Linked DNA regions of Xenopus tropicalis. The protein of the gene in region 2 purifies or fractionates together with the protein of the main gene of each other region. This does not show direct contact. Links are inferred from orthologs where the notes say so. Each region holds a gene or a part of one and is shown on either strand. Other genes may lie near its edges.

Region 1 (5,041 bases), on a different chromosome or scaffold from region 2:
CTAAAATCGTGGAACCCTAGGGGCCTATTTACTATGCATTTACAAAAAGAAAAGCCTGCACACTTCCATCTGAAAAGCACCCACATACCCCCCAACATTTCATTAAGAGAAAGAGGGACAAAAATATGTGACGCGAGTAGTGCGGCAAAAATGTTTTGGCCACGGCTGCTTTGTGACCACGACCCCACACACCACGCCCACTTTACATGCCCCAGATGTGCCAGTATAACCACTAAATAAAAAGAATAAAGGACATATTAACTTCAAATGTGCCAGTATGACTACATTAAATTGATAAAGGGCATATTAACCACAGACATCCCAGTAAAATTACTAAATGAAACTGATAAAGGGCATATCAACTTCAGACATGCCAACAGTTCTGTGTATTTGCCAAGTTATAACCAGGGCCAATTCCCCGGAGCAGAGCAGGCACAGCAATCAATTAAATGGCAATGCTGAGAAGTAGGACATCTAACAATGAATCCGGGACAGCTGGCAGTGCTATAAATATCGGGACTGTCCCACTAAAAGCGGGACGGTTGGGAGGTATGCACCCAGTTGTGTGCAGGTAGGCACCACAATCCATACCACAGTTGCACCAAGGTCAAAAAAACATTTATATACAAGTAGGAGGACAGAAACACTATTAATGTAGGGTGATTAACCTGAATCTTATTCTGGCAACAGAAGAGAAAAATTGTTTACAACTGAATCTTTATTTAATCTTTTTATATAAAAAAATATAAAAATCTTTTGTGTATAAAAATACTAAAATACATAAATCACAACAGACCCATTTTGTCACCTGTGGTTGCACAGATTTACCTTGGGTGACAAATCTAGTCTGCCATCAAACATTAAAGGATATGTAAACCCCCACACAAAAATGTAATCAGTGAACAGCGTCTTTGGAATCTTTAAATACTTGCCACTCCTGTTATTCAAAGGTTAATAGTAGGGCTGCAGCATCTCTTTAATCCAGGGGTCCTCAAACTTTTAAAGTAAGGGACCAATTCATGGTCCGTCAGACTGTTGGGGGGGGCAGCCTATAGTCTCTCTCCCCCCCCCCCCCCTTCAGCTCCAGCTCCCTGCTGGGTCAAACTAGTGCCCGCTCCTGCATCATCCCTCTCCTGCATCTTCTCTCTTCCAGCTCCCCCGCTGGTTCCATCTGTCCTCCCTCTCCCCCTGCTCCTCCCACTCACCAATGCGTCCTGTCTGTTCTAGCTCCCCCGCTCCATCTGTCCTTCCTCTCCCAGCTACCCCCTTCTGCTCCCTGCTGAGACCTCCCTGTTCCAGCTCTCCCCACTCTGTCCATCTGTCTTCCCTTCAATAGAAACACTGGTCTAGCTGTGCCTCTGCTGGAGAAACATGTTTTTTCTTCTAACCTCCTGTCCTGAGCTCAGCTTAACCATTACAGTGCTCAATTCAAACAGGGCTTTTTATCAAAGTAAGCTCTGCCTGTGTAAGCCTGCATTCTTCATTGCATGAAGTGGACATATGCATTTGCAGATGTAAATGTCACTAACAATGTGTCATAGCGAAAATAGCCACTGGGTGAAAACTGCTATTTATTTTAAGAAAATGTTATGGTATTGGCAAAGGAGGGGATAGGCAGTATAAATGGTGTCATATAGGTGGGAAGATGTGCCCATCTTATTTACATGGTAGAAAAATGTGGCTTTACATGTCCTTTAAATATGACTAAGGGGATATAGTAAACCCTATTTGTTATAAAGTGGCTAAATTGCGATTTTTCTAGTACGTTTCATTTCTATGCAAACATTTTGAACACAGGTAAGTTTTCAACCATTTTGCTGGTACCAGAATAAGAGGCAGGTTAATCACCCTCCGTTAATATTTACCATAGACTATAAAATTATTTACGCCAAGGAAACGGATACTAATAAAGCGTACCATTTCTACGCGTCAATGCCAGCCAATTGCTTCGGGGAGGCGTTTAGATATTGAGAGATGCGTTCCGTGGGGCGGGGTTTCTGCTAATTTGTGACGTTTCTAGTGACGAAGACGGAAGTAGAGCGGTTCCTGCTGATGCAGAAATGGAGGTGAGAGCCGGGGTTCTGTGAGGAGATGTAGAATAAAAGTAGACTAGAAGTATTCAGCTCACTAACGTGTAGCGCTTGTGTGTGCGGTGGCTCTAGTACTACTTACACTGTTAATTTGATAAGCTACTTGTGTATAGGGGGTGGGTCAGTGTTCGTACAATTACTTTCATTCTCAAATATGTGACTTGTATCAGTGATAAAGTCTGGTCCATTAATGGTTTACAGGAAGAGACATTTGGAAAGCTCCCAAACGTTCTATATTTTCCCTTTCTGAACATGTTAAATGAAATGTGATTGTGGCTGCGGTGTAAATGTGCTGTACATTGTAACTGTGTTGGTATCTTGCAAGCAGTGAATCTCTCAGCAGGTATATCCTGAATATCCGGACCTGTAGGTATGTTTGCTCTATCTGTATTAACAGGAACAATAGCTGGCCTGCTTGTGACTGACACAAGACTGACTGCTTACTTGGGCACAATAAATGGAATAAAAACCCAAATATACACATTTGCCACATGAAAGGAAACATCTTGCTTAGGATTACAGTTTCTCTCTCAAAATTTCAAATCTATCCTAAAAATATGTTTTAAACAGCTTTTGAGCTTATTTTGAAATGTTTTGTTGTTAATTAACCTAAACCCCTTAAAGGAGACATATCCTATAAAAATTAAGAATGTACCAGAGAATTATACTCCTCTAGATATAGAAGGATTGTGCTAAAAAAGTTGTGTTTCTGACTGATTTATTGAGAAATTCCACCAAAACCCCACTAGCCCCGCCCATCTGTCCCACTTCCTGCTGGCTGAATTCTCTGGATGAGCTGGGGAGCCGGCGGCCCTCCGTACACTGCACTGTAGGATAGGAACCAATCAGCAGCTAGGCTGACCTGATAGGGAACTGAAGCCTGTCTGTGCTTGTGTGACTGCAGGACTGTGATTGGCTCTCCCCCTCCTACTGTGCTTCTGGCAGGGACCGTTAGGACACGCCCACTCTTCATTTCACACTGGAGGGAGAAGTGATACGACCTATAGGGAGCTCCAATAAAGGGGCCATTGTTACAGATAGGATTAATGTTTAGCCCAAAGGGAAACCAGCACCGTATATTATTCATAATTGCCTACAAAATTAGGGTTTTCCAATTTATACTATATGTCTCCTTTAAACATTGTTAAAAAAGCAAGAGTTCCCATGTTTGCAAGCATCGTCTGTATGTAATAGTTCTGGATGCAGCTATTTAAAACAATGTGTACATCAGAGTTTTGCCAGATTGTATGCAGATTATATCATTTTATATCACTCTAACAGTGGCAAAGTCTGTTAAAAGTTAAAACATATGAATAAAAAGTGTAAAAATCTGGTGTAAATACTACACATTTATAACGCATTTTTTATGACTATGCTAGTTTCTATGCAAGGTTTTTTTTTCTTTTCTCATTTTTTAGTTTTTTATTATCCATTTAAAATATTGATACAAAGTACAAAAGGATAATACAACTTTAGTTCAAATTGTTAACAAATGTCATATTAGAAAATGTAACATTAATAAAAGAAATTATTAAGGTGCTTGTAGCCCACTGGATTTTTTCTCGGTGCCCCGCTGGCCTAGTCTGACCCTGGACACCAGCAATGTTCAGAGATATAGTTTCCTTTAAAAAAGATGCCAGCAACATACATTGAGTCATATAGTCATCAGACAGCCCATTGTTGAATATATCTTATGGTGCAAGTAATGTTCTTATTCCATCCTGGCAACTGAGGCCCAAATATTGAATCTCATTCAGTACATGGACAGACCCCCCCCCCCCCCCCAATATGCAACACATTTAATGATATCATGAATCAAGTTGTTCATTGCCTAAAATAATCAAAACAATGATAAAAATAAGCCAAGGTCAGGAGCAGTGTAACTAGTTTAACAACCACAAAACAGACTGACCAACATGAGTGGCAGTGTCAGAACAAGGAATCGGGATCAGATTAGAACCCCTTAAAAACCAAACAAATAACAGGATTAGGAACAGGACCAGCAGCACTGCAGAAACACAATCAAGCTGGGCATACTAAATATCCACTCATGTGGCCACCTTGCATCTTGCCCAATTTTTCCAACTACATGCTGGGCCAAATCAGGCTCATCTGGCTGGGATCATAACAGAGGCATATAAGGCCTGTTGGGAGAGGAACACATTAATGCCCTCATACAAGATTCACTTACCACATGCATCTATCTTTTAAGACTATAGTGTGGAACTGGATCTGCCTGGCTGACCAAAGCCCATTCATAAAAGACATAATAACTCATTAGATTAATAACTCACAAATGGTCACTAAACAGTTTTCTGTTTTCACAAAAGCCATGTTATATTTGCAATTTTGTTTGCACATTGTCACGTTGCAATTTTTTTTCCCTGTTACCGACTTTTATTACATTTCCCTTTATTGCATTATTTATCCCCTGTATTACATTTGCAATTAATCGCCTGGGAATCTGTCCCTGTCTGTTTTAAGCCAGTTAAGGTGCCCCAACACGGGCCAATTCAAGTTTGTAGCTTATCAGCCTGTGTATGGGGCCCTCAAATGGGCCTACCAGCCAATACCATGCCGAATATTGGCAGATATCGATTGGGCAGATTTAAAATCCTGTTGGGACAAGGAGCACATATGTGTGTTGATGCAGTTCTTGTCCCAACAGCCTCTATACCGGTAATGTGATCCGATCTTTTGGTCTGAAGACCAAACGATTGGATCAATCCGATAATGCTCACCTCAAGGACCTTGCCAAATGAGTGGATCTTTCAGTGAATGGCCAGCTTTAGACCCTTGAAAGTCTGTATTTAGACATCTGTGCTCTCAAAATGTGCATAGTAATTCAGCACAGATTATTAAGGAACTGACTATGCTTTTAGACTGATTTTCACCATTTTGTTCTTCTCTACAGCTATCTTTTTTCAAAAAAATGTAGTCTATTCTTTAAT
Region 2 (5,031 bases):
CTGAAATTCCATAAAGAAGAGCTGCTAATCCAAAAACCACAAAACCTAAGTACAAAGTGCCTCAGACTCTCAGTCTAAATCATATTAAATTTTTTTTGGTTGTCAACATCAGTGACCTGTAACAGCAGAAACCAAAAATAGGTACTTTCCCCCTTTTCATTTAAAGGACATACAGGCTAATAGTAGTTTAAAGTCAGAACCACAAGTGCACAATGTATAAACAATGAGACACTGCTTTCGATAGTGGATACATTTACAAATAACTTTAAAATCACTGAAAACCTTTAATAAATGAGTATTATGAAGCTGCTTAGAATTACATTTTCTCTCATTATGCAAAAGACTGATTTTAGGTGCAGTTTCCCCTTTAAGTGTAAATTCTACCTACTTAGCTTGAGCTCTTCAAGTTGCATTGTCATTGGAGTAGCTTGGATGGAAATGACCTTTGAAGTATAAATAACTAAGAACAAATCTGCATAAAGGAGGCAACCCATCACTGCAACATGTTTACATAATGGAAACTCAATGTCCCAAAATAATTCTATATGTTAGTATTTGGCCTACATATGCTCAACCAGAATTAGCCATAATACCGTTAAAGGTGGCCATACACGGACCGATTTTTTACTTACAAACGACCGATTCCCGAACGATCCGATGCTATCGTTAAGTTATCGTATAGTTGGTGGTGTACGAACGATCGTCGGCCCACTAAACGAGCCGACATTATCGTCCCCAAAATCGATCGGCCAGGTTTAAAAATTTTGGTCGTTTAACGATAAAATCTGCCAGTTGGTGTGAGTGTCAGACATTTGTCTTTCAACGATTGTTCTCTGCGCATGTCACGATTGCAAGCAGCGGAAGTCAACGACATCGATCGTATGTAGATGTACGATCGTAGGTATTTTACGATAATGATGCGACAAAATCTTTCCCGAATTATCGTTGCCCGTGGATGGCATATCGTATGGGAACTCGATCGCCATACGATCGTTTGTCGATATAATCGTTCATCGCACAACGAGCGAAATCGCCTCGTGTATGGCCACCTTAAGGGTGAAGACACATGGAGCTACTTGTAGCAGCTACTTGTCAAGGCTACTAAAAAAAGACAATGCTAATCATTTATTGATAACGGTCTCTACGTGTGTTTTAGCAGAGGCAATTCTCAGTATTGTCTATGGCAGGGGATTTTCAGGAGTTTAGTAGCCTTGAAAAAGTAGCTGCTACTAGTAGCTCAGTGTGTCTTCACCCTAAAAAAGGAGGACTAAATCCAGAGTAGTTGTCTGACATTAAGCACAACAGAAAAGCCCTCATGATCATCCCTCAGCTGCATTAGTGTGCAATAAGGAACACTCGGGCCCCCCTATACCTTGTCTGCAGGGGTCGGCAGCCAAAGCACATCCGATTTCAGACTTTATTGTGGAGATAACCAGCCAGAGGCATGCATGCTGAAAGCGCATCTGTTTCTGGCTTCCATGCTCCTGGTTGGTGATTACCGCCATTTCACCTAAAGCCGAATGTGATTCAGGGAGGCCCTATTTGGTTTTGTTTGTTTATTTTTTTTAAACCATACCACCAATGTGATTATGTGCTTAAAGTCAGACAACCTCTCTGGGGGGTTAAGTTCGCCTTCAACCCTTGTTCATTTCAATGGCAATCACCAGACCTGTAAGGGCACGCATGGCACTTGGGTAACAAAACACCCTGAATACCCCCCTGTGCCAATACCCTAAGGGGTGCAGCTGGACAAAAGATATTGAAGTTTGCTTAACCAATCATTAGTCAAATGATCACCTGGCACACAGTACTCTCGGCTCAGTAGGAAACGGAAGGCAGCAAATGGAAAAGAGCCGAGCACCCGCAGTGCATTACCAAGAAGCATGCTGGAACCTGGATACAACCCAAGACACCCAGTCAGTCGGAAACTTCCTTTGTCTACGTGCATGTGTACTATACAGCCATAACCTGGCCCAGAAATCCTTATCCTCTATGCAGATAACCTATTTATTGATCTACCTGGTGTATCCACAGCAGAAAAAACACACGCATACCTACCCATAAATTCCTGTGTGTGTGTTCTAAACCCAGACTCAAACTCAAATTGCTGTTTAACTACAAATCCCAGAATTCCCAGACAGCCTTTGGCTGCCAAGACATGTAGCTCATTATCTATAAGTGAAGCAGGCCAGATGTAGGTGGCCTTACAACAGGTGTAGTACTACAACTCTCAACTTTCCAAATAGTCAAAGGTTGTCAGGAGAGGTGGGAGTCAGTTCAGCATTAGATAACTTTAACCTGTCACAGCGCAAAAGTTCTTCTCGCCTTCCAATATCCATAGCGTGCATGGCAGGGGTGCATGACCTCCTTCTCCTACAGCAGTGATCCCCAACCAGTGGCCCGTGAGCAACATGTTGCTCCCCAACCCCTTGGATGTTGCTCTCAGTGCCCCCAAACCAGGTAGTTATTTTTTAATTCCTGACTTGGGGGCAAGTTTTGGTTGAATAAAAACAAGATTTCCTACCAAATAAAGCCCCTGTAAGCTGATAGGGTGCATAGAGGCCCCTAATAGCCAATCACAGCCCTTATTTGGCTCCTCCATGAACTTTTATGGTGCTTGTGTTGCTCCCCAAGTCTTTTTACATTTGACTGTGGCTCACGAGTAAGAAAGGTTGGGGATCCCTGTCCTACAGGATTATAATGATACCCCCGGTGCAAGCAGCTCTCAATATACCCTGTTACTACTCAAATAAAACTTCCCTGGAGTACATACACACAGGTTTCAGTAAGTCAGAGATACAAGTGACATCACCAGGCACCAATCAGAACTGATGACATCACTAATAACAAGCACTAAGACAGGTTGTACATATCTGCTGGATAATACAGTGACAATATCTTACAGATGTTTATCTACACCATCCTCCCCAGGCCATATTCCCTCTCTGCCCTGCCCAGTGTGGCCAAGGGAAATGATGGACTGGTATGAATGCAGTAAAACTATACAAGGGGAGGGAGGAGGCAGTACCTGGCCCACAGAGCTGACAATCGAATGGGGAGAGGAGCTCATTAAGCCTACAGTTTCCATTCCTCACCAACTAAGAGCAGAGTGAAACCCAGGGTCACATCCGCATCACGTGATGAATTTCCAGGCCAGTGACTGGCTCTGCCAGTGGACTAGAGAGCTTACAGTCTACCCGGTCTCCTGTATGAGGGCCGCCAATGGTGAGCTGTAGGCGCGACAGGGACAGACGCAGCAGGTTTCGGAGCCCCACCACAACCCAATTAAAAAGACGACAGTCGCCTGGACATCACAGCTGTCAGTGTATTTATGACGAGCAGGACTCTCACCTGACTTTATCCAGCAGCCTCCCTCCGAGCCCCGCTCATCTCCCCCGGGACCGGACCCCTCGGTGCCGCTCGTCCGGTCCCTCCCGCTCTCGTCCGTTTCTGTGATGTTCTCCAGCTCGGCTCCCTCCGGTCGTTTCCTGTAATGGCGGCTCCGGAGACCGAAGCAAAATAAAAGCAGACGGGAACTGCGTGACGTCACTAGGCACCCGGGGCCGGCCAGCCATGCGATAGGCCTAAACGCACGGAGCAGCCAGCCAATAGGAGGTTCCGTCTTAAGCGGCTGGGCCGGTGACGTCATGAGAGCGGCGAGTGAGAGGAAAATAACAACAAGAGCGTAGAGTGACAGGAGCTGGGGAGAGGCGCTGCGGCTCCAGTGTGTCCGGCCCACAGCCCTGATTGGCATGTATTACTATACAGGGACGGGGATGCGGAAAGGCATAGAAGGCCAGTTTGGGGGTGGAATTTAGATACAGAGGATTTATATTATATATATATATATACTTGTTTTATGCAATAGGACAGCACCCTGCCATAGAACAAAACGTGGTGCACGTCCCCAACAGGTTCCGATATCCTTGCACATACAATAAGTTCAACAATGGACAGCACACACTTTAACGTGCAAAAGGTATATGAAAAGATCAAATTCATACCCGGCCGGGCTCCAAACGTCGCATTTTGTGTACAGTATGAATTTGATCTTTTAATATACCTTTTGCACGTTAAAGTGTGTGCTGTCCATTCTTGAACTTATTGTACAGGTATCGGACCCCTTATCCGGAAACCCGTTATCCAGAAAGCTCCGAATTACGGAAAGCCCGTCTCCTATAGACTCCATTATAAGCAAATAATTCACAATTTTAAAACTGATTTCCTTTTTTTATGTAGAAATAAAACAGTACCTTGTAATTGATCCCAACTAAAATATAATTACCCCTTATTGGGGGCAGAACAGCCCTATTGGGTTTATTTAATGGTTAAATGATTCCCTTTTCTCTGTAATAATAAAACAGTACCTGTACTTGATCCCAACTAAGATATAATTACCCCTTATTGGGGGCAGAACAGCCCTATTGGGTTTATTTAATGGTTAAATGATTCCCTTTTCTCTGTAATAATAAAACAGTACCTGTACTTGATCCCAGCTAAGATATAATTACCCCTTATTGGGGGCAGAACAGCCCTATTGGGTTTATTTAATGGTTAAATGATTCCCTTTTCTCTGTAATAATAAAACAGTACCTGTACTTGATCCCAACTAAGATATAATTACCCCTTATTGGGGGCAGAACAGCCCTATTGGGTTTATTTAATGGTTAAATGATTCCCTTTTCTCTGTAATAATAAAACAGTACCTGTACTTGATCCCAACTAAGATATAATTACCCCTTATTGGGGGCAGAACAGCCCTATTGGGTTTATTTAATGGTTAAATGATTCCCTTTTCTCTGTAATAATAAAACAGTACCTGTACTTGATCCCAACTAAGATATAATTACCCCTTATTGGGGGCAGAACAGCCCTATTGGGTTTATTAAATGGTTAAATGATTCCCTTTTCTCTGTAATAATAAAACAGTACTTGTACTTGATCCCAACTAAGATATAATTACCCCTTATTGAGGGCAGAACAGCCCTATTGGGTTTATTTCATGGTTAAATGATTCCCTTTTCTCTGTAA
Region 3 (4,694 bases), on a different chromosome or scaffold from region 2:
GCGTGTCCTAACGGTCCCTGCCAGAAGCACACTAGGAGGGGATATCCAATCACAGCCCTGCACTCACACAAGCAAAGACAGGCTTCAGTTCCCTATCGGGTCAGCCTAGCTGCTGATTGGTTCCTATCCTGCAGTGCAGTGTATTGAGTGCCACAGGCTCCCCTGCACATCCAGAAAATTCAGCCAGCAGCATGTGGAACAGATGAGCTGGAATAGTGGGGTTTTGGTGGAATTTCTCAATAAATTAGTCCAAAACACAACTTTTTAAGTTCAATCCTTCTGTATTTAGAGGAGTATAATTCACTGGTATATTCTTAATTTTTATATGATATGTCTCTGGGTTCAGAATACTGTAAATTGATGCTGTTCTCAGGGCACCATAAACAAGAAACAAATTGTTACTGCATAGTAAACTATGATTTTTTCATTAGTTAGGGTGGCCATACGTCATAAGATCCGCTCATTTGGCAAGGGCCAAACAATTAAATGATGGGAATCGACACCTTTATACTGGGTTTACTTCAATATTGGCATAATTGTAAAAACAATCAGCAGTATCAGAACACTCATCTTGCTCTCTAGTTATGGTTGTGCAGAACTAGGCCTCTACAGACAGCAGTCACAAGAAAAACAGGAGCTTCAGAGCCCCAAAGAAGATAATGCAGATAGAGAGAAGCAAGTTGATATCAAATCTAATTGACTGGAAATAATGTCTAATGAGTTTAATGCCATCAAACAAATTGTATGAACCAGAAATCGTTTGTTGCACAAACATAGGAACAAAAACATAGTCCTGTTCAGAATAGTTAATTGCCTATAAGGTAATTCCATGTACCAAACACTTACAAGATGATGCCTGCAGGACCCAGGCAGATAAATCAGTGCATAGGAGTATGGAGGGGACAGACTAGAAGAGGCACCTGTATACTGCTATCCTTTTCTGTTGCTGTATTTGTGACAGACAGGCAGGGAACTGAAATAAAGGCAGGTGTACAGGCAATGTACTGATTAATCATAAAGGGGGTTATGTAACAACAGACACACAATGTTCTCCAGCTCTTGTATCTTACAGTAGTTGCTATGGGTTACTGGAACTAGGGCAATCTTTGCACCTGCTTTCTGCGGGGTTGTATGTGAGTATAAAATCTCTTTTAGTGACACTGGTGTGGGAGTGATTTGTGTATGTGCACTTTAGTTTCTATATCAGTTTCATACAACGAGTAGGCTGACGTTGGGTTTTATTGCCTGGCTGTCCAATATGAGGACCAAAGGGCTGACACGGTCCTCAAAGCGGTTCGGCCCCTAGCTTGCCCACACTGACTTTGGATTAAAGTTTATGACGTGGGTTGTATTTAAAACTATGTTTTATTTGCCAGACTACCTGCCCGCTAACTGGAGTAAAGTTAAGTAGCCGTGTTCTGCTGCATTTAGTCGTGACAATATGAATTAAAGCGATTACTATGGATACTGGGAACTGCAGTATTGTATTATTGAGGGTCACGTGTGCTGGCAGTCCGCTAAAGCAGGAATGTGCAGGTGAACTGAGAGTTAACTCTTGGCGGGCTGGAGTAGGAGGAGTAAGTGTGCTTCTGACGGGCAGGCAGAGGGTTAAGTGTGGGCTTACTGGTGGGGGCTGTCCTCTCGGCTGCTCTCCTCTTCCCTGGCTCCTCTCACTCAGTCCTCAGCAGCTGGAAGATGGCGACGGTGGAGGGGAGTGAGGAAGAGCAGGCTGAGCCTTTCTGCACTGCCCAAGGGGACACGGATAACGTAAGCGCCTCATTGTACTGCAGTTACTCCATGCAAGTGCTGCCCCGGCAGTGGGATCAGGGGGAGCGATGTGCTTTTAGCTCTGAGTCTTAGGAGCTGTCACTGGTTTATTAGAGCGATATTGATTCCTGCTTCTGGCGTACAATTTTCTGGCTTTAGTAAGAAACAGAGAGGTGCATTCGAGGGCTGCACAAATGGGGTTCGCAGCTGATTGCAGGGATAATATATGGGGACGTGTATTGGTTAAGCCTGATTCTTGCAGGGATAATATATGGGGACGTGTATTGGTTAAGCCTGATTCTTGTGCTGTATAATGCGAGCGTGCCTAGGGATTTATGTAATAAAATGTGTCAAGTGATGGTTATATGGTTCCGCCTCCCAATTGCACTTCCTAGGAATGGTGGGAAGCCGCTTGGATCTGCGCCTCCTTTCCAGTGCTTGCGATTAGCTTTGTCGCATAGGTTTTGTCTAACTGCGCTCCTCTAATTGTGTGCACTGCTGTTGAATAGGAGATTTGAAAATTCTATGAGAAGGCTGGCTCTCAGTGTATGTAACATCAGCTGTGCAGGGGAGCTGTGTCTCTATGCTGACTATCATAGACGTCTATAAATAATAGAAGACTAAGCAGCTTGAGCACAGGGATTCGCTTGTTATGATCAATATTGTATTAGCTGTATGACGACAGTGGGTTTTATTTCAATTAGTAATGTTACGTGTGTAATTTATTACCCTGTTTTCATAAGGGATATCCCAGAAAGATGGTAGGACATGGGGATTCAGTCTGCAGTTAAGTCCCCTCCACAGGGCAGACTCCCTGTACCAGAGCCCCACCATAATAGTAAGCCCAGAGTGTTATTGGGGGGGGGGGGGGCAGCATCTTTTGATAACCCCCAAATATGGAAGAGAGTAGGATATCTCTAGCAGCCTGTCTACTGCTGCTTACTTTACACACTATCCTAACCTAGAGCTCAGGGAGAAACTAAAATATTAATCTTAAAATATTACCCTTTCATAGACCCCAGGATTCTCAAGAAAGACTAGGAATAAGATTTTTTTGGATCCTTCTTTCTCAAAAGGGATTAGGAATAAAGGCTTGTTCCCTGCAGGTAAATGTTGTAGCTGGATGCTTAACAAGTTGCACATTATTAGTGACAATAAACTGGCCACCTAAGTAGCTGGTAAGGGAGCCAAAGAAAAAGACACACAGTTTGTAGATTTTGTGGCTTTTTTCCATTTTTTGCCCATTTGCCATATGAAAGATAAATTACTAGATTCCCCCTCAACTATGGATTGGTTATTCCACCAAAATTACTGCATTACAAATGATTACTCTCTGCACAATTGTCCATATATCCTTGCATTAGGACACGGTGCAATATAATGTGTTATACTGCCTATGCTATTTCCCAGCTCAGTGGAAAAATGCTCACTATTGCTGCTGCAAAGATGTACATGGGTATTTCCCTTACCCTGATGGTGTGATTGTTGGTGGGGCCATTAATGTCTGTCAGTCAACCTTTTTAGAGCAATAATTACTTGACTTGTGATCACACCAGTAGGGCAATGGTGTTTACCCTGAAAGTCTATGAAGCTGCAATTACAAGGGGGGTTGTGAGCATTTTGCAACCCTTCTTCCTGGAAATAGTCCTGGGTGCCTTTTAAATTTCCATTATATATATCAAACATTATTTATAATTTTAAATTAATTTGAATACAGAAACAATATATCAGAAAGCAGGTCCTCTCTAATCATAACTCAATTTCCCACTATTCCTTGTTCAATTCTGTTACTCTTGGAGTACTGGTTTGAGAAGAATTGACTGATGATACAATGTTGCAATGGTATGCCCAGCCAGGAAAAGGAGAGAAAGAACCTACTCTAAGTTGGAATTACATGTACACATATCTTTAAAACCATCGTTTTAATTGTTTATATTAATGTAAATTGTTTAGTTGGTTAGAATTTCACTTTTCTTTTATGCAAAAAAAAGTTTATGGGTGGACATTTTGAATAGATGTGCAAAGCTTATATTTCTTGTGCTTTAAAATAGTTTAACAGTTTAAGAATTATTATTTATGCCAACTACTTTTATAATACCAGCATTACTTGCTACTAAGTATATTATATTACAAACACGTATTAAAGGAGAAGGAAAATTAAAAACTAAGTAAGCTTTATCAAAAAGGTCTATGTAAATACAGCCATAAGCACTCACAGAGTCCTCTATCAAAAAAAACCACAGGATTTCTAGGGCTCTTTACTCAGGTATGATAAAGCTTTCTGCAGAATAAATATAGTGTTCTAGGTGGCACTATTGTGGCAAATCTATTGGCAGCAAAATGCCAAAATGACTTTTCTTCTCCTTTAGGGCTCTTGCACACGGGGAGATTAGTCGCCCGCGACAAATCTCCCTGTTCGCTGGCGACTAATCTCCCCGAGTTGCCTTCACCTGCCATCCCACCGGCGACAATGTAAGTCGCCGGTGGGATGGCACACGCGGCGGCGTGCCGAAAAAGACTGCCTACAACAGTATAAGTGGATCTTCGGAAACAAAACTGGTTGCTGTTATTACACAGCTGCGCATGAAATATTCAGGTCAGTTTCTAGTCGGTAGTGGGTAGTATGGAAATTGATTGTGGATAGGGTTTCTCAGACCACCCTTCCTATTCTGATTCCATTAAGGAGGGAGAAAAATTAAACATTAAAATATTAGTCTGAGAGCATGGATAAGTAGCTTGGAGACATATTTGGGGGACCTAAGCTCATTAGAATTAAAAAGTAGAAAGCAAGCATAGAGTAGCCATACCTGCTAATATAAATTAGGTGCAAACCTGAAAGCAGACACAGACTTTCTTGATATACTCCGTTATTAAATGATTATTTAGGAAAATAAAACAATGTCCCTAAATGGCCACAATTACTTATT
Region 4 (4,880 bases), on a different chromosome or scaffold from region 2:
GGAACACGTTGGTATCGCTTTAAGCATTTAAACCAGCACCTTACCTCAGATTCATCGATTCCAACGACAATGAAGAGAGATGCATATTGCCTGTACACCAGCTTAAAGTCTTTGTACTCTATGAAGGAACACTGATGGGAAGAGAAGAATTAGGATAAGAAGTATTATTTCTCTACTAGGAGAGAGAACATAAGAAAATCCAAAGATTAAAAGATCAAGAGAAGTTTTACTGGGGTTGATCATTGCTATTGCTCCAATTGTGAGGGTCTTAATAAATGTATAAAGTAAAATCTGCCATTAACTGCCAAGGAGTAGCAAAGAGGCACAATGGTAATATTTACACAGGGGTATTAACAATAAAGCAGCCTGGGCCCCATCCAGCTAAAAATGTAAACAAACAGTGTGTGTTGATTACATACCTTTGGGCTAGGCCTGATATTTTGCCTCACTCCATAAGGCAATATCAACATCTACCCAGAGTGTGTGCATAAGGGAAAATAAGGGTAGGCTCCATCTAAACAGATAAAAGGGGAGGTAAGGAGGCAGGGATTGTCACTATCCTACAACCTCCATAACGCAGTATTCACCTGATCCTTGGAACGTGACAGACACAATTTGATGACGTCAGATTCCAGCAGTGTCCGTCTCTGGACTTCCATGCGTTCATAGTATCTTGACAACCTGGTCTGTCCCTGCTTGTTCACAATGAGGAAGAACTTGATCATCTCTACAGACGAGCTGCTATCCAGAGCTGGAAAGGATGTATATAAAACATCAGGTTAGATGTCCTAATGTACAATGCAGGCTATAGATGCTTATAGCGGCAACAAAGGGTGTCTCTTGTGTCATGGTTTAAGGTCCTTGCTTGTTGATGGAGCAAGAGGATTTAGCACTATCTTGAACTGAAATGTACCAAACACCAGCATAAAGGTGTAAGGTGGAAATAGGAGCTCACTTATTATCAGCCTGAAACTACAGGGATCTGGTGGGATACAGATAGGGGGATTTCTGATTGGCTGCAACTTGCAGCTTACTGACCACATTTCTAAATGAGAATATTTAGAAATAAGACCAGTGTTGGACTGGGGTACCTCCGGCCAGCCACAATACCTGAACTCAAGAGCCCCCCTGCCTGTGAATGGGAAGTGGCCATGGTGACCAAGGGCCACACTGACATTTATCTGCAGGGCCAGTGAGGAGACTAAGGGCATTCTTTCTGCCCCATCCCTTTACCACTTTTTAGTCCCTACTGTCTGAACACTCTCAGGCCAGCACCAACAAGCTGCCGGTATCCCAAGCCTCAAGTCATACTATTGCAACGTATTTATACTGGCATGAAACTCACATGGAGCCTAGGGAATAGCGGGCTGCAGGCTATGGGAGAGAACAATGGCACAGGCAAGGATAGGCAGAAGCTGCTTACTGAATTCACTGTAGATACGAGGTGGCCATTGCTACTGTATGCATACTGTATGTAGTGTGTGCACAGTGAATCTAATTGGCTCCCCATTTGCTAAACCCTCCTCAGGCTGATAAAACACGTTTCTATTTAGATCACGGCTCCAGGGGCCGGCGAATAAAATCTCTCAGCCACTCAACGAAACCTGAAAGCGACGGCCGGTTACCCGTTCAAGGCGGGAGCATCCCATCAGTGGAGCGGCCGGCTAACCAACAATGATTTCCGGTAGCATTCGGCTGTCACCATTCCATGCGGAACTACGTCACTACTAGCCCTCTGGGCGGGGCGGGGATCACGTGACGCATATTGCCTTTGTGACGTCAGTCCGCTAGGCCCGCGCATGCGCCTTGACGCTGTCAGCGGGAGGCGGTGTGTGAGGCCGGTGTTTCCCAGAGTGCCCCGCGGAGCTTACCGGACCCCGGGGGGGAAGTGACAGATAACAAATGGGCAATATCAGGAGTGCGCTTGTGCGCAACTTATAGACGGGACGGCGGCGGGCTCCCCTCCGGGGGGGCGAGAGTTACCGGCCGCTCCATCTCACTGCTTCTCTCCTGACTGGCACCGGGGAGCTATTTGCCCCCTAACGGGACGCGTCACTTGTAGCGGAGTCCTTGCGAGAGGGTTGGTAGCGGCGGGATGGAGGATCTCCCGGCGGCCGGAGGAATGGCCGCGTCTCCGAGGTTGCAGGCCGTGGGTCCGGCCCAGTCCCAGGGAGCCCCATCTGAGCCTGGCTGTGAGCTAGCCAGCCGCCCCCCTCAGTACACTATCCCCGGGATCCTGCACTACATCCAACACGAGTGGGCCCGCTTCGAGATGGAGAGAGCGCACTGGGAGGTGGAGAAGGCCGAGCTGCAGGTGAGGGGTCCGGGGAACAATAGGGAGAGACGGGGGGCCCCACCGGGATGGCAGTGTGGCGCCCCCTACAGACTCGCACCCGTCTCTGGCCTTTCCTCATTCCCAGCTGAACTACATCTCCCCGCACCCCCGGCACACTCCGGCTGTGTATGAGCTGCGGGGAGTCCGGCACAGGTGCCCAGGGGGAATGCAGTGACAGGAAGCGGGGCCTTGCTCGGTTACTTTCAGGTCGCCATTTTGGCAGGCTCGCTTTTAGGGTAGGGCAGAGAGGGCATTTGCTCTGGACCCCCAGTATCTCATGGCTCCCTTGTGGGGAAGAATTGCAAGTGTGTAACAGTTGTCAGATATTGTCCCTATACAGATCAGGGGGGCAATCTGTTGCCCTCTAGCTGGGTTTTAGCGTCCCACCCACCACTGACCAGGGGTTGCTGGGAATTGTAGTTCTGCAGCGTTCATAGGGCCCAGGTGGGACAACCCTCCCACATATTGAGAGCCCAACCTTCTTGCAATGCCATGGAACCTTTCTTTTTATCTATATAGGGGCCTACGTGGCCGACATTCTGCTCCCATTAGCAGCCTCCCCCTGGGGAAGGCCTGTCTCTCCTCTCCAGCTCAGGACAGAGCAGTGACAGTGGGTAACTGGACTGTAATGACTGGGCCAAGTGACTGCCCTGTTGCTCCTGTCATTCCCAGGGCCGGCACCTAGTGATCTTGTCTGCAGGCATTCATTTGCCTCACTTCAGCTGCCCAGGTCATGCTGACCCCAGTGGGCTTGCAGGGTGACAGATAGGATTGTAAGCTGTATTAGACTTATTCCCCAAATCTCAAAGTAGCAGAGCTACACCACAGTGAGTGAGGATAGCCTATATGTGGGCTAGTGCCCAGTCTGAGCCAGGCAGATTGTTCTACATAGGTCTTTAAACTTATAAAGTGTTCCATTGGTTGCACAGGTCCATCCTGTTCTAAGATCCTATTGTATTCACAGGTAATGAAAATGCCCGTCCTTTATTTTCAAGTGCAACTTTACTTTAATCCACACATTGTTTGATCTAATCCTATGCATTCTTGTCTATTCTGCCCATACCTTTTATAAACCCTATATTAAACATGTTATAATTAAGTGCAGTGAATAAAAACTCTATTCACATTTTAACTACTGACTTAGGTAGGTATGTGTAATTGTGAAGGCCATGTATGAGCTTTTGTTTCTATCCCAGTGCTAGTACGCTGGAATTGATTGGTGGTGGTGCTCCTTTTATTATGTTGGCTAACTGTGTGTGTATGTGAATAACTGTCCTGAAACTGGGGTATTCACTAAGATGTTTGTGATACTATATCAATCAAGAATAGCTTAATTGTTGCTTAATTTTCAGTGGCTGACAATGAATAGCCTAATCAGGATACAGTGGAACCCCGATTTTACATGTCCCAGTGGATGGTGTCAAAATGGTATAAAATCTGGGGGGGAACAAGACGCCACTTGCTTGTATGGGAAAACTGAAAAACTATCAATAATGGGAAAATGTTAAATCCAGGTACATAAAATCAGGGGTTCTATTGTAATATGGCATGTTTGTCTTTGTTAATACTGATTAGTTCTATTTCTATATCCCTAGAAAGCAAGGCACATGGTGAGGGTTGGCAGGCTCTACATGTAGCCAGTGTCACATTTAGGAGAATTGGGAGAATTTTTATAAATCTAGAACTGCAACCTTCTATAAGCAGGTGATGTATCTGCCTTGCTCACAAGGCTCTGAGGTTCTCTGACTTTGGCTAGTATTGATTAGTTGTGTTTCGCTCGGCATTTGCCCAGTTTGTATGACTTTGTGTTCCCTTTGTGCAGAATATTGCTGCTATTTGAGTTCCTTTGGATGTTACAAAGATACATTAGCAAAAGGCGGCGCTTCTGATCAAGCCGTTAGCAATTCTAGTCCTGACTTCCATGCTGCCATTGCAATCAGATTACTAGTTACTTTGTATCTAAACTTCTGTAAAACTCAAAGAAACAGTTATGATCCTTCCCATTTGGCAGTAAAGTGTAAGTGTCCAACAGGGTGTCCATGTGCTGGGAATCAGCAGCAGTGTGTTACACTTAGCCTTTATGACACCATATGCTATAACCTTATCCAGGGCAGTCACAATAGAGAGAGAAGACCCAACAGCTGCTGGAAACCCAGGAGGCTTTCAGCTACTCAACTTGTACAAACCTTTTCATTCACCAGTTCTTTCCCAAATTTAACTCTGTTAGTAAGAAAGGTCTAAAAAGTTTGTGCTGTTAGGCCCATTTTACACTTACTAGTCATTTGGGCTTTCATTTTCCTGATAGACAGTTGATAAGGTGAAAATGGTTATTCAGAAATCTTTTTAAAAAAATGCTAGGTTTCAATATATTTCTGCACTTTTTGATTGCAATTGACAAGTGTTACCTGTATTATAAACACTGCATACACATTTGTTTAGTGCTGTAACTTCTGGCGTCCAATTTAACACTGGGCAAATGTAGTTGCACAAGTACTTCCCGCATAGCAACAAATTGCCAGGTTGCAATGGCTTTCATCTATGTAAG
Region 5 (4,885 bases), on a different chromosome or scaffold from region 2:
ATCCCCACAGCATGATGCTGCCACCACCATGTTTCACAGTGGCGATGGTGTTCTTGGGGTGATGTGGGGATGTTGGTTTTGCCCCAGACATAGCATCTTCCTTGGTGGCCGAAAAGTAAAATTTTACGCTTAGTGGGCACTGGGCTGACTAACAATGTTTTAGGGGGTCCCTGCCCTGGCCACAAATGTTTTAGGGGGGCCCTGGCCACAAATGTTTTAGGGGGGCCCTGGCTACCAATGTTTTAGGGGGTCCCTGGCTATCAATAGTTACATAGGGTTGAAAAAAGACCAGTGTCCATCAAGTTCAACCCATCCAAGTAAACCCAGCACACCTAACCCACACCTACCAATCTATACACTCACATACATAAACTATAAATAATCTCTAATCTAAAGGGGTGACCTCTGGTGCATTGATTGTTTTTATGGGAAAAAAGAACATCCCCCATCTGCCTATAATCCCCTCTAATGTACTTGTAAATCAATGTTTTAGGGGGCCCTGGCCAGCAATGCTAACAATGTATGTGTGTCCTTTGTACTGATGGGAGGGGTCACTGGGGGCGGGCACATGAGAAGAGGGGGGCCCAGAAAATTTTGTTGTGGGGGGCTTCATGATTTCTCAAGCGGCCCTAAGTGTGTATATATATATATATATATATATATAATCTGTTCTTTGTGTTTGCTCAGTTTCCCTTGTGTAATATTACATTTAAACTCGGAAACAACTCGCTTTGCAAATATGCAGTACCAGGTAAAACAATGGAGCAGCAAATACTTTTTCTCATCACTGTAATTACAAACTAGGGTGTATGTTCTATGGCCCCATCCTACTAAATTAGCAGGGATCTCCACCTTCACCAGGGGGTCCCAATTAATAGTCTGATGGACACCTAGGCCCCCTGAATGGTAAGCCCTGTCTCAAGTAAAATAGGGCCTCAACGAAACAAAAATTGCCCCTCCTATACAGTGTGTTCTAACCTGTCTCTAAGCTTAATTTAAGACAAAACTCCAACAAAACCTTGCCCACTCATCCACAAGCCCCATCCCTTTTAAGAACCTGGAATCATGCCTTTTCATCTCAGGACACCTGACTGCTGATGTACGTGTACTCCAATAATGATTGCCCATTATCAGGGGCCATTTAGATAACTTAAAAATGTAAATTGTGCATTTCACTTATCTATGGATAGCTAATGTGTGTTGCCTCATTTTACAATTTTACTTTTTAGAAACATCAGGTGCACAATTTGCAGCGCTCATACCCTAGATCTGGACACTTCCTTTTGCTCAATTGTATAAGCACTCTGACAACGTTACAAGAGTTTCTTCTACTGAAATTTTCTGACTGTAGTTTGGTTGATAGAACTGACCAGCAGATGGTGCTATTATTTCAATTTAGACGCATTAGCTGTGTAAAAACGTTTACCAGCTTAAAATCTATGAATACCTAATAAAAGTGGCAAGAAGCCCAATTTTACATGAATGTATTTAGAGTTAACGTTTCCTTTAAGGGTAGCCGGCTTTCAAACATCGCTGTAACTGCAGAGAATACATGGTTAGATATATAGATAAATGCAGGTCTCAGCAATAAAATACATGTTATGTAGACAGGAATATACAAAACACTGATTATCACACTGGTGCCGATACATCAGTCTCTATAAGCCGCCCAGTTTGTCAAAGAAAGGGCGAGACTCTTCATACTATCGCGATGTTTGGAAAGCAGAAACAGACACGCCTTGGGCTTTGCGTTCCACCGCAAATGTTCTACTGAGACGGCGGTGTCACGTCACGTGGGCGTCGCCTGAGAAAGATGGAGGCTTCCGGTTCTCTGATTGTCAACAACAAAATGAGAACAGGAATCGGTGGTGCGGTAATTGGCAGCCCCCAACCGGGCAAGGGACGAGAGTACAACCGTACACAGCGCAAGGATTCAGAGGTATGAGTAAAAGTGGTTGTTATGTATAACTATATTGCATTAACATTTGTGTTTGATTAGTACTCAGTTATCCTCGAATTACCCTTGTAATGTAACTGTGTGCCAGCTTTTATGCTTACTTAGTGACCGGGGTATGTCTGGGGAACCTGTGACAGGAAGACAAGACAGTTCTTACCTGATTAAAAAGCCCATTCCAAAAGGAATCTCACATCAGTTTTGCGAACTATTCTAAACTGCTGACTTGTCTTAGTTTTACTGTTCACCAAAAATATATATTATAGTTCTTCGTGGTTGCTGTCATGTTAATATAACCTATAGTTATCAAAAATATTTAATTAAATCTCCGTCATCCTGAAAGTTGAGCATTTCATTTAGAATCACACATTATATTCCTGTTCTGCAGGAAGATGCTGTGACAGAAAGGCACATGTACCTCTGCAAATGTAGTGAGAAAAGTGCAGTTTTGAGCGTAATTGCTGCAGGTTTTTGAAAAAATGTTGCTTTTTCCCCCAGAATTTGAGTCATTGTGGTTCTCAGTGGAGTGATACGCCTGGCACAATTGCTCTGTCTATTGCAGTTGTATCTGATTTGCAACTGTGTACCCAAAATTGGATGCAATTGCGCCAAAATCCAGCTGGCGTCAGTTCTACTGTTTGGTCTGTACCTGATTCTTTAGGTGCAGCAAGTGTGTGGCAGCTCCAGGCTTCCCCTGGTGCAGCAGCTCTCAATTTGGAACGGAAGGTAGGAAGGAGAACATAAAAGTGGTGCTAGGTGCAGCTGGTTGGGGGGAAACTGGGGACCACTATTGCACTCGTGGACGTAAATGAGCCCTAAAGTGTTCCTGGAAATATCATGCCCATGTATTATTCAAAAAGTTGAATTTAATGCAAAGCTAAGATTTCACCACTTGCACCTTTCTCAGGGTGGAACAAACAAATGGTATTTGGGAGCAGCTGTGCATATTGTAAAAGTAACTGAGGAGAGAATTCTTTGGGCTGTAAACATGATTCAGACTTAAGAAAATAGTATAAAAATGTACCACTCTGTCACATGGTTTCACAGAAAATGCCTGAAAGTTAGTCTGAGGGTAGAGGGCCCTGGGTACTCATGAAAATATTTCAATGAGCAAAAGATCTCCTAGCATGGCCTTGCTTTTACTAGTGAGATTTTTTTTTTTTTATTGGTCTGTGTTTACTGCTTCATCACCTGGGGTTTACAATTGCTCTCGTAATGTGTTATGCTATAATGTGACCCTATTCCACGGTTACTCTAAAGAACCAGGTTGCAAAATGAAATCACTTTCAGTTTCATTGTTTTCCCTGTTAAGTAAAAGAGCTACTGAAAATATTACCTAAGCAAATTAGCCTTTGAGGAAAAAAGGTGTAACACGTACAGTGTCTGAACATCTATGAATAAAGTTAGGTCTCAAAACTGATTACATTTAAATCTCCCAGACTACTAAGAAATATGGTTTTGTTTGCATCAGTCTTATGAGAAAGAATTGATATCTTTCGAAGTTATAATTTTTTTTTTCTTTCCAAGAGTGCAGTCATATTCTGTGACTAGTTGCAAGTGCATTGAAAGCTGTCCACACATAATTCAGCGTGGAAATGCAATAATAGGTATTTGTATTTGCTCTCTGTGAGTGAACAGGTATATCCCTTGCCTAGAAGTGCACACAGAGGGGGCAGAAGGCAGCAGATCAGCTTTTCTCTGCTGGTGTATCTACAGCAATGGGGAAAAAAAACATTCCATGTGCCATTAGGGCGAATGGTCGCAGCGACTTTCCCTTCAAAGGATCCTGTATATGTTGCTGCGACTAATAGCACACAGGTTTTCGCTGCGTAGAGAAATCGCAGCGACTTTTTAAAGACTTATGCCGACTAATCGCCTTGTGTGTCTTCACCCTTAGGGCTCTGGCACACGGGGAGATTAGTCGCCCGCAACAAATCTCCCTGAAAATGTAAATCGCCGGTGGGATGGCATAAGCGGCGGCGCGCTTTCACTGAAATCGCGGAAGTTGCCTTGAGAGGAAACTCACATTTTTTTTACATTTTTGCCGGTGGGATGGCATTTCTGGGAGATTAGTCGCCCGCGAACAGGGAGATTTGTCGCGGGTGACTAATCTCCCCGTGTGCCAGAGCCGTTAGCCTTCCAATGTTTTTGGATAAAAGGTTTTTTTTTATGACTTTCTGGGCTTTTGTGTCCAAAGAATGATCAGATAAGACATCCTCTTACCACAGATATTAGTTATTTGATTTAAAGGGAAGGTCTGAAAATTGTTGTTAGTTTGACTGTTTGGGTATAATCTAACAATCTGATAATGATAGAACAATTTGACTGGTCCATCTCCCAGTCTCTCCTGTGAACTATCATATTTCCAAGACCGCAGTCTTCATGTTGATGATTTATTGTTCTACAGTATACATCAAAGATGACCATTTGTTGGTGATACTATTTACATGCCTTTTGTAATTATTTTTATGTGTGCAGACAGAAAACATAAATATGCCATAAAGTGTTTTAGCTGTTTGTTGCCAACTTGAATGATAAAATAAATTTAAAATTGTTGCACTGGGTTTCTTTTTTTGTTTATTTTTTTATGGCACTTCTGTTCATTTTAGGGCTATTCGGAGTCTCCGGACCTAGAGTTTATATATGCTGATTCTGACAAGTGGGCAGCAGAACTTTCAGGTAAATTGTAGGGCTTCATCTTGGTCATCTACACTAAGTACAATAAAAATATTACTCAACTTATAATTTTTTTTACCATCCTTTTACTTTCCTACTTTCCAACATAAGTGTGCATAGTTGGTTCTCTCACAATATGCAAAAATTAGTACAAATATAACTGCAATGCTGCTTGCTTTTGGCTGATGCATTCTTCACAAACAAACAAACTGCTACCATTGTGTAAACTTTTATCAGCTGGTATATGAATGTATT

What was found.
Region 1: the proteins of zranb1 (region 2) and gcc2 purify together in Homo sapiens (affinity purification with mass spectrometry; 3 studies listed by BioGRID and IntAct, with this or other methods). This does not show direct contact. The link is inferred for Xenopus tropicalis from reciprocal best matches to the Homo sapiens genes ZRANB1 and GCC2.
Region 3: the proteins of zranb1 (region 2) and cttnbp2 purify together in Homo sapiens (affinity purification with mass spectrometry; 3 studies listed by BioGRID and IntAct, with this or other methods). This does not show direct contact. The link is inferred for Xenopus tropicalis from reciprocal best matches to the Homo sapiens genes ZRANB1 and CTTNBP2.
Region 4: the proteins of zranb1 (region 2) and strn3 purify together in Homo sapiens (affinity purification with mass spectrometry; 4 studies listed by BioGRID and IntAct, with this or other methods). This does not show direct contact. The link is inferred for Xenopus tropicalis from reciprocal best matches to the Homo sapiens genes ZRANB1 and STRN3.
Region 5: the proteins of zranb1 (region 2) and strip1 purify together in Homo sapiens (affinity purification with mass spectrometry; 4 studies listed by BioGRID and IntAct, with this or other methods). This does not show direct contact. The link is inferred for Xenopus tropicalis from reciprocal best matches to the Homo sapiens genes ZRANB1 and STRIP1.

The regions. Positions count from the first base shown.
Region 1 is NC_030678.2:109,427,602-109,432,642, reverse strand, and holds the start of gcc2 (GRIP and coiled-coil domain-containing protein 2), read left to right. Parts: upstream 1-1,962; 5' UTR 1,963-2,060; coding exon 2,061-2,066; intron 2,067-5,041. UniProt on the Homo sapiens protein: Golgin which probably tethers transport vesicles to the trans-Golgi network (TGN) and regulates vesicular transport between the endosomes and the Golgi.
Region 2 is NC_030683.2:20,384,829-20,389,859, forward strand, and holds the start of zranb1 (ubiquitin thioesterase zranb1), read right to left. Parts: upstream 3,052-5,031; 5' UTR 3,029-3,051; intron 1-3,028. UniProt on the Homo sapiens protein: Ubiquitin thioesterase, which specifically hydrolyzes 'Lys-29'-linked and 'Lys-33'-linked diubiquitin. Also cleaves 'Lys-63'-linked chains, but with 40-fold less efficiency compared to 'Lys-29'-linked ones.
Region 3 is NC_030679.2:68,648,874-68,653,567, reverse strand, and holds the start of cttnbp2 (cortactin-binding protein 2), read left to right. Parts: upstream 1-1,615; 5' UTR 1,616-1,695; coding exon 1,696-1,767; intron 1,768-4,694. UniProt on the Homo sapiens protein: Regulates the dendritic spine distribution of CTTN/cortactin in hippocampal neurons, and thus controls dendritic spinogenesis and dendritic spine maintenance.
Region 4 is NC_030684.2:113,226,386-113,231,265, reverse strand, and holds the start of strn3 (striatin-3), read left to right. Parts: upstream 1-1,801; 5' UTR 1,802-2,095; coding exon 2,096-2,314; intron 2,315-4,880. Other genes in the region: ap4s1 (AP-4 complex subunit sigma-1), read right to left, coding at 45-131, 588-725. UniProt on the Homo sapiens protein: Calmodulin-binding scaffolding protein which is the center of the striatin-interacting phosphatase and kinase (STRIPAK) complexes.
Region 5 is NC_030678.2:72,084,453-72,089,337, forward strand, and holds the start of strip1 (striatin-interacting protein 1), read left to right. Parts: upstream 1-1,806; 5' UTR 1,807-1,813; coding exon 1,814-1,939; intron 1,940-4,563; coding exon 4,564-4,633; intron 4,634-4,885. UniProt on the Homo sapiens protein: Plays a role in the regulation of cell morphology and cytoskeletal organization. Required in the cortical actin filament dynamics and cell shape. Part of the striatin-interacting phosphatase and kinase (STRIPAK) complexes.